Mus musculus: one gene and its partner. The protein of the gene in region 2 interacts with the protein of the main gene of each other region in a biochemical or structural test. Links are inferred from orthologs where the notes say so. Each region holds a gene or a part of one and is shown on either strand. Other genes may lie near its edges.

The links.
Region 1: the proteins of Tjp2 (region 2) and Cgn form a complex in vitro, tested with the Homo sapiens proteins (2 studies listed by BioGRID and IntAct, with this or other methods). The link is inferred for Mus musculus from reciprocal best matches to the Homo sapiens genes TJP2 and CGN.

The regions. Positions count from the first base shown.
Region 1 is NC_000069.6:94,769,470-94,773,116, forward strand, and holds part of Cgn (cingulin), read right to left. Parts: intron 1,234-3,647; coding exon 1,024-1,233; coding exon of another isoform or gene 1,019-1,023; intron 700-1,018; coding exon 493-699; exon of another isoform or gene 489-492; intron 1-488. UniProt on the Homo sapiens protein: Probably plays a role in the formation and regulation of the tight junction (TJ) paracellular permeability barrier.
Region 2 is NC_000085.6:24,222,177-24,226,610, forward strand, and holds the start of Tjp2 (tight junction protein ZO-2), read right to left. Parts: upstream 2,851-4,434; 5' UTR 2,675-2,850; intron 1-2,674. UniProt on the Homo sapiens protein: Plays a role in tight junctions and adherens junctions. Acts as a positive regulator of RANKL-induced osteoclast differentiation, potentially via mediating downstream transcriptional activity.

The DNA.
Region 1 (3,647 bases), on a different chromosome or scaffold from region 2:
TGAAGCATTGGAGATAGGAAGATGAAAAAGGTAATGTTGGGTGTGGTGACACACATCTCTAGTCCTAGAACTTGTGAGGCTGACACAGGCCGACCTCACTGGTCTGCATAGTGAGTTCCAGGCCAGGAGGGATTACATAGTCAGATCTTGCCTAAAAAAAAAAAAAAAAAAAAGTGGACATCCAAACCGACTCAGAAATCAAAGCACTGAACAAGCAAAGGGTGGGAGACAACAATACCAGCGCAGAGTTTGAAACATTCACACCAAATCAGTTCAGAAAACAAACCTAAGCTTAATAGATACATACGGTGAGGGAAAAGGGCAGTGCACATTGGCAGTAAAACTGATGGCCACATACCGAGATGGGAGCACAGTACATGGGGGCGTTCTAAGCTGAGTACCGAGGGGTGGCAGTGCATGAGGGCACACAACTGAGAAAGGAGGAGGGCAGGAGAGAGAGCGGGGAGACCCCAAGGTGGACAAAAGTGTTACCTCCAGCCGATGCACTTTGTCCCGAAGCCGTGCCTCCACCGCTTCCCCACCTTCCGCCAGACCTCGGGCCTCCTTCAACTGCTGCTCCAGACCCAGGATGCGCCTTCGGAATTCGTCATTTTCCTCTTGTGTCTCCCGAAGTGTGGTTTCCACGGTTGCCCGACGCTGCCCCAGCACCATGGCCTCTGTCTCTGATGCCACCTTAGCCTGCGGGCAGTTGGGAGAATCGGCTCAGACCGAGGGGCTCCTATGGGTAAGCATTTACACCCAGGAAAAAGGGGTACCTGAGAACCCACTAAAAGCTCACAGGAGCTAGGGATAGAGGGGTAGCCCTAGCCAGGAACCTTCCTGACAATCTTACCCCTACACAGATGCAGCCACCCTGCCAAATTCTGCTATTCCCCACACACAGGAGCCTCCAGAGCTCCTCAGTACATACCCAGGATAGGTTAAGTTTGCAGGACCTCTGGCTTCTCAGCCCTCCTGACCCCTCAGCCTCCACCTCCTGAGCCCTGGGCCCACTCCCCTTGCCTTGGAAGCCTCTTCACAGTCCTGCCGCAGTTGCTGCAGGGTCTTTTGTAGCTGGAGGTTCTGCTGCTCCAGCTCTCGGCCTCGATCAGCCTCCTCCCTCAGCGCTGCCAGCTGCTTCTCTAACACCTGGTTCTGGTGTCGCCCAGTCACCTCCTGGTTCTGCTGCTCTGCCTGAAGCTCTTTAAGCTCCCCCTGGGTGCGTCGAAGCTCCTAGAAAGGAAAAAAAAAAAAAAACCCAGTGGCGAGACTCTGCTATAATGAGGTTCTGGAAAGTGGAGAAAATAAGACTTCACACATGATGGGAAGAAATATAAATGATAAGGCTGCTTTCGAGAGCAATTGGGAGAATCAAAAAAGCTGAACACAGGCTAATCACATGACAAGGCAATACTATGTTCAAGTAATGTGCCTAAGAAAAGTGGCAATTCTCACAAAAACTTGCTTATAAATGTCACAGCAAGATCAGTCACTGTATGTCAAACCCAGAAGCAATCCACATGTCCTTAAATTTTAATGAATAGAACATCATACATCCGTAAAACTGGATGAAGCCAGGTGTGATGGGACATGTCTATAATCCAACACACAGAAGGCAGAGGCAGGAGGATCAGGTTGTCAAGGCATCTTCAGCTACAGAGCAAGTTCCAGGCACTCCTGGACTACATAAGACCCTATCTCAAAAAACTAAACACACATACATAAACAAAAAGATAAAGATTTTTGATACCACACAGTTGAATCTTGACTACACCAGATGAAAAAAAAATCCATAAATAAAAAGCCATTATTATAGAATTACAATTATTTGAAATATTCAGCTTATGCAAGTCTGGAGATACAAAATTGTCGGGACACATAGGGAAGGACCACCAATGGGCATGGGCGCTTTCTGGGGTTATTAAAACATCGTGTAACTAGAGAATGGTGATGGTTTCACAATACAATGAATATTCTAAAATATACCAACTGTCTGCTTTCAAATGAGAAATTTTAGGCCAAATATGGTGGTGCACTAATCCCAGCACTCAGGAAACAGAGGCAGGCAGATCTCTGTGAGTTCAAAGCCAGCCTGGCCTATCTAGTGAGTCCTTGTCTCAAAAAACTAAAAAATAAAGAGGAATTTTATAGTATAAAACTTTATAAAACATGACTGGCTGCCAAATAAATAAACCAAAACACAAAATTATAGCACAGTAAATAGTAATACATCTTAAACTTCTTTTTAAAGGGCAGTTAAAATATAAATTATGGTTCTCTTTAGTTATAATTTTAACTATAAGTAGCTATTCTACTTAGTTATTAACACTTTTCAAACTTAGCAATAGCCAATAAGACCAAAGGGTCACAGAATATGCAGTGACTATAATGTAGACACTAACAAAATCCCTTACAAAGACAGAGAAACAGAGCCACTGCCTCGTCTGTGTCGGGCTGGGTTCGTCTGCGTCCCTAACCTATATGTTGTTCAAATACTTGATAAATTATACCTCCTACCTGAGGCATAATGATAAATAAGCTTTTCTGGAGGACTGTGTCAAGCTGTGTCATGTCAGCTAATATATTAATAGGTATTTTTAACTTCACAACAACACGTTATATGTCATCCAAAAATAATTAGCTGTGCTCTTTTTTGATTTGGTTTGGTTTGGTGTTTTTGTTTTTGTTTTTGTTTTTGTGGAGAAGTTCTTTTTCCTGGGGGAGGGTTCTTTTTCCTGGGAGTTGAGAAAGGTTCTTTCTATAGAGCCCTGGCTATCCTGGAATTCACTATGTAGACCAGACTTACCTTGAACTCACAGAGATCTACTGCTTCTCCTTCCCAAATGCTAATTAAAGGCATGCAACCACCACACCCGACCTATTAGCTGTGTTCTTATCCTTCATAAACTACAACACCAAGAGTATGAAACTGGGTTTATTTTAACTTTTATGACTTCCTCATAACTCTTTCATGAACTATCATCCATGCATGATGAAAAAAGATTGACTTTTAGGGGAAAAAAAAAGGTGGAAGTGAGACTCTTGGGAGTGTTGTGTCACCAACCCGCCAGCAAAACTGTGACTTGGGATACTGGGAAGATGCACATCACCCACTACACCCCTTGAGCCCCATGTCCAGGCTGTGTGCTTTCCAAATAGCCTTTGGATTACAACTTGGACTCCGCAATTAGGTCAGCGAGCCAAGCGGATACCAGCATCCCAGTCCAGGGATTATATTTCTCAATGTAAATTAATAAACATCCTAAAAAAATTGTTTTTTTATCATATAGTTAATGAATTTCCCCCTCAAAGAGCAGGTTTTGCAGTGCTGACCAAATTAAGGTTCTGAACCTGCAAAAATGACCCTGGAGTTTTACAAATCCACCTATATTCAGCTAAGATGTCTTATAGGAGGTAGCCAGCAGTTTTTGCCTGTACCATAAACTGGCTGTTGACAGCTCTTTTTTATTAGAGAGCTCTATAACCAACAAGGAGAGCAGCCCCGCAAAGCTGTGAACCCAAACCTGAGCTGCTAGGATGAAGCTTGAAAGTCACGCTCATGGAGGCAGCCCCACGAGCGTGGGCAGAGGGGTCCCAAGTGAGGCAGCAGAGCATCCCAACCTGCCACTCTACACCCCAAGTACCAA
Region 2 (4,434 bases):
TGTGTGTGTGTGTGTGTGTGTATATATATATATATATATATATATATATGAAAGTAGGGGAGGGACTGGAGAGACCGCTCAGTGGGTAAAGAACTTGCCACTCAAACTTCACTTGTGGACAACAGTAACTGTGGGGCAGAGCCCAGACTGTAATCTCACTGGGAATCGAAGACAGGGACCCTCAGAGCAAGCTGGCGAGCTGGACAGGCAAATCAGGAAGCTCTGGGTTCAAGTGAGAGAGAGACATTGCCTCAGGATAGAAGGTAGGAAGCCACCTGATGTCAAGTTCTGGCTTCCACATGCCGGTGCATACAGCGCTCACACCCGCACACACACCACACACACACCCACACACATATACACACACACAACACACACACATACAACATACACACTCACACACCACACACACACACAAACACACACATACACACACATACACACACACACACCAATACACACACATACATACATACACACAACACACACATACCACACACACACATACACACACACATACACACTCACACAAGCACACACATACACACACCACATAAACACACTCACACCACACACACATACACACACACTATACATACCACACACACACATACACTCACTCACACAAACACATACACATACCACACATACACACAACCACACACACACACACACACACACACACACTCACACACAAGGGGGTGGGGTGGGGTGGAGGTGGGGGTAGCAATGAAGACTCATGCAGTAGAGGGGCTTGCAGCCAAGTCTAAGGCTCCCTCCCACCCCAGGACCCATAAGGTAGGAGAAAACACTCATTAGCTAGCCTAGAGTTTGCTAGTAACCATGCTGGCCTGGACCTCACAGAATTCATCCTGCTGTCTTCTGAGCGCTGAGATTAAAGCTGAGTGCCACCAAGCTCTGTTATAAAAAGTAAGTTTTTTAAAGACTTATTTATTTAATGCATATGTGTACACTGTAACTGTCTTCAGACACACCAGAAGAAGGCACCAGATCCTATTTCAGATGGTTGTGAGCTACCATGTGGTTGCTGGGAATTGAACTCCAGGACCTCTGGAAGAGCAGTCAGTGCTAATACCTCTGGGCCATCTCTCCAGCCCTGTAATTTTTTTTTAAGTGCAGTTTCATTACTTAGTACCAAGGCAATGAGGAATTAAGAGATTTCGGGGAATCTATACTTAGTTAATTCATGCGGGCTGAGTCCACTCCCTAGGTGACTCCATTCCATTGCAGTCTAGACAAAAGAAAACCCTCCTGGCTCTTTATCTTCCTTAATGGAAAGCACACAACAGAATCCTGCAGCTAGCCTACCTTGGCCACTTAGTAATGTTGCATCTATTCTGCCTATTACATTCCTAGTCAGGATTCTCAGCCCCCTGAAGAAAACTGAGGGCATTCGGTGCCGTTTAACTTAACATTTAGGAAGGTTAAAATGCTCAATTTCACGTTCCGTATCATTTTAAGGCACATTTCAAGGCCAGAAACAAAAAAACCTGCAGCCTTATATGTTAGCCAAATATCTTCAAATCTCAATAAAGAGCCAATGGCTCTGGGGGCGGAGTGGGTAGGTCCAGTGTGGCTGTACTGTCTGTCCCCATTTTTAAAATAGCATTCAGATTTAAGGCTGAGTAGGAGTCCGACGTGATTCATTCCTTAGCTGGGCACCGCCACTTTTCTTGGGCCAAAGGTTCCCAAAGGTCAAAGTGCAAATAGATCCCAGGGCTAACAGGTCTAGGGTGCGGCCTGAAACCTGGGTTTTCAAGAGGCCCCCAGGCAATGTCCCAGAATCCCTCTCTCCTTACCAGGAAACTGGTCTTTCAAATGAACTAGGAAAGTCGGGAAACTTTTAGAGGCCAGAGGAGCCTCTGAACAGAACCCGCACACCTGCGGACCTGGGAAGGCGCGGTGGACAACTCAGAGACAGTAGCTCAGAAACCCTCTCGCACACTGCAGCAGCCTGGAAAACACCCTTTTCAAGCTCGGAGAATGCTTGGCATTCGGTGGCCTTTTTCCAACATAAAAATCTCCAACTCGGCTTTGACTGAGAGTCCCATAGAAAAGCCACGGAAAGCAGCCCTGGAGAGCTGACAACGCCCTGTGTTGACAACTCGGCTCGTCCTTTATAAAAGAGTCGAAAGACCCCAAATATATATATACACACACACACAAAGTCGAATTAAATGTTTCACAAAGCGACGGGACTGTTTTCCTGTCGGCGGCGGGGGAGGGGGCAGACTCATGGTCACCAGGATCGCCCCCACCTGCACACAGACACCAGCTTTCCCTCGCTCCGCGCCCGTTCAGGTCACCCACCCCTTAGATACCATCGCTGCCAACAGAAACCCAAAGGCCCTCTGAATCTAGCAGAAGAGACGCTCTGCGGGAGCGAAACAATGTCCCCGCCTGGAAGGACAAGGAGGAGCCAGGCACCTGTAGCAGCGGCGTAAACTCAGATCCCGGGTGACCCTAAGTCAACCCCGGTGATGCGAGGCTGCCCAAGGGTGGGAGATGGAAGTACGCACGCAAAAAGCAGTGCTCAAGAAATCACATCCCAAACCCCACGGGGACAACCGGCGTTCACGCACGCTGCCCCGCGGCGAGCCAAGGCTCCAGAGCAATCTTGTACCCCGGGAGGGACAGAGCCGCAGGTACTCGCCTGGAGAAGGGGGGCGGCGGCAGCCAGCAGAGTCAGCGCGCAGAAAGCGACGGTCCCAGGCGTCGGGCGGCGCAGCGCGGGCAGCGCCTGTCCGGAGGCGGAGTGCCGCGGGCTGCCGCAGCAGGCGGGAGCCAGTGACCTCCGCCACCGGCCGTTCCTGGGTATTGTTGTGACTCAACCTATTTCCTGTTTGGAGGGCTAGAAGAAAGGGGGACAAGTGCCTATCTAGAGTGTGTGTGGTTAGGGGGAGGGTAGATGGGCGGTGGCCATCACCTGCTTCCTCCAGACCCGGAAAAAAAAAAAAAAAGTAGCTCGCGCCACTTTGGGTCGTCCTGTTGGCGGAGGGGGAGGCCTCACCGGCGCCACCCAGCGGTGGGGCAGGGATTGAGCGACGCTTCCGCCTCTTTTCTCAGCAAAACCCCCAAGCTTCGGCTCAAGAGTATAAACATTCGCAGGGTTTATCTAATTCGTGCCCAGATCTGCTTTCAGTCTTTCCGCAGGTGCTGGCGAGGAAAGGTCAGTCACCCCTCAGAAACCACGGGAAGGGTGTTTGTGGGTCACTGTATGTATACGGTAGGGGAGTGGAACGGGTTGATTTTTGTTTGGGGAAGAAGAGAAACGGGTAATGGTATCGGTGAAAGATAAGTTTTAAGATCAATTTCAATCCCCCTCCCCCTCCAACCTCCCTGGTTCTCTGGCTCTGAGGCTCCAATCCGGAAATACCGGTTCCTCTCGGGGGACAATAGGTGAGGGCGGAGCACTAAGCCCAGAGCCTGCTTAGTCACACCGCGGGGAAGGAGGAATGTGCCTAGTGCCCAAGGCTGCACCCGGGGCGCAAGTTCGCCTTCCATTTAACCTAGTCTGGTTAAAAAATCCTAGGAAGAAAAAAAGAAAAGAAAAGAAAAAGAAAAAAAAAAAAATAAAAAGAAAAGCTGGATAGTGGTAGCGTATGCCTTTAATCCCAGCCCTTGGGAGGCATAGGTAGACGGATTTCTGAGTTCGAGGCCAGCCTGATCTACAGAGTGAGTTCGAGGATAGCCAGGCTACACAGAGAAACCCTGTCTCAGGGGGGAAAAAAAATCCTAAGAAGATTCCAGGGTACAGGATAAAAGTTGTGGTGATGGCGAGATGGATAGTGGTGATAGTTGTGCGGTGTGAATGCTCGCACTTGCCCACTGCGTTGCAATTTTAAGTATTTTAGTTTGCTTTTTTAAAAATCCTGTAAAGGATGCTGAGGTTCTATTCCAGGCAACTTCGCGCACGAGCGCCCTCTCCTCCCCACAAAACCCTTTCGCCAGGAGTAACTATGTCAACTGAGACACTCTCTCAAGGAAAAAAAAAAAAGAACAAAAACAACAACAACAAAAACAAAACCCCAACAAGAGAAACCAGGAGTGGTAGCACAGATTTGTAATCCCAGAGCTGGGGAGACAGATCCTTGGATTTACCAGCCCCCGAAAAATGAAAGACCCGGTCTTATAAACCAACATGGACAGATCCTGAGGAACAGGTGTTATCAGACCTGCCAATACACACACACACACACACACACACACACACACACACACACGCCCCAGGCAAAGGAAGATCAAACCTGAAGGCTCAGGCTTTAAGAAAGTATCACTTTAAGAAAAATGAGCACAAGCAAACTGTTAAGCAAATAAAAGCATACCAATTGTGCCTCCATTTACTAAGAAAGGAAAAACACCTACCCATGAATTTGCTTTTTCTTTTTTTGAGTTGAGGTCTTAGTTACTATG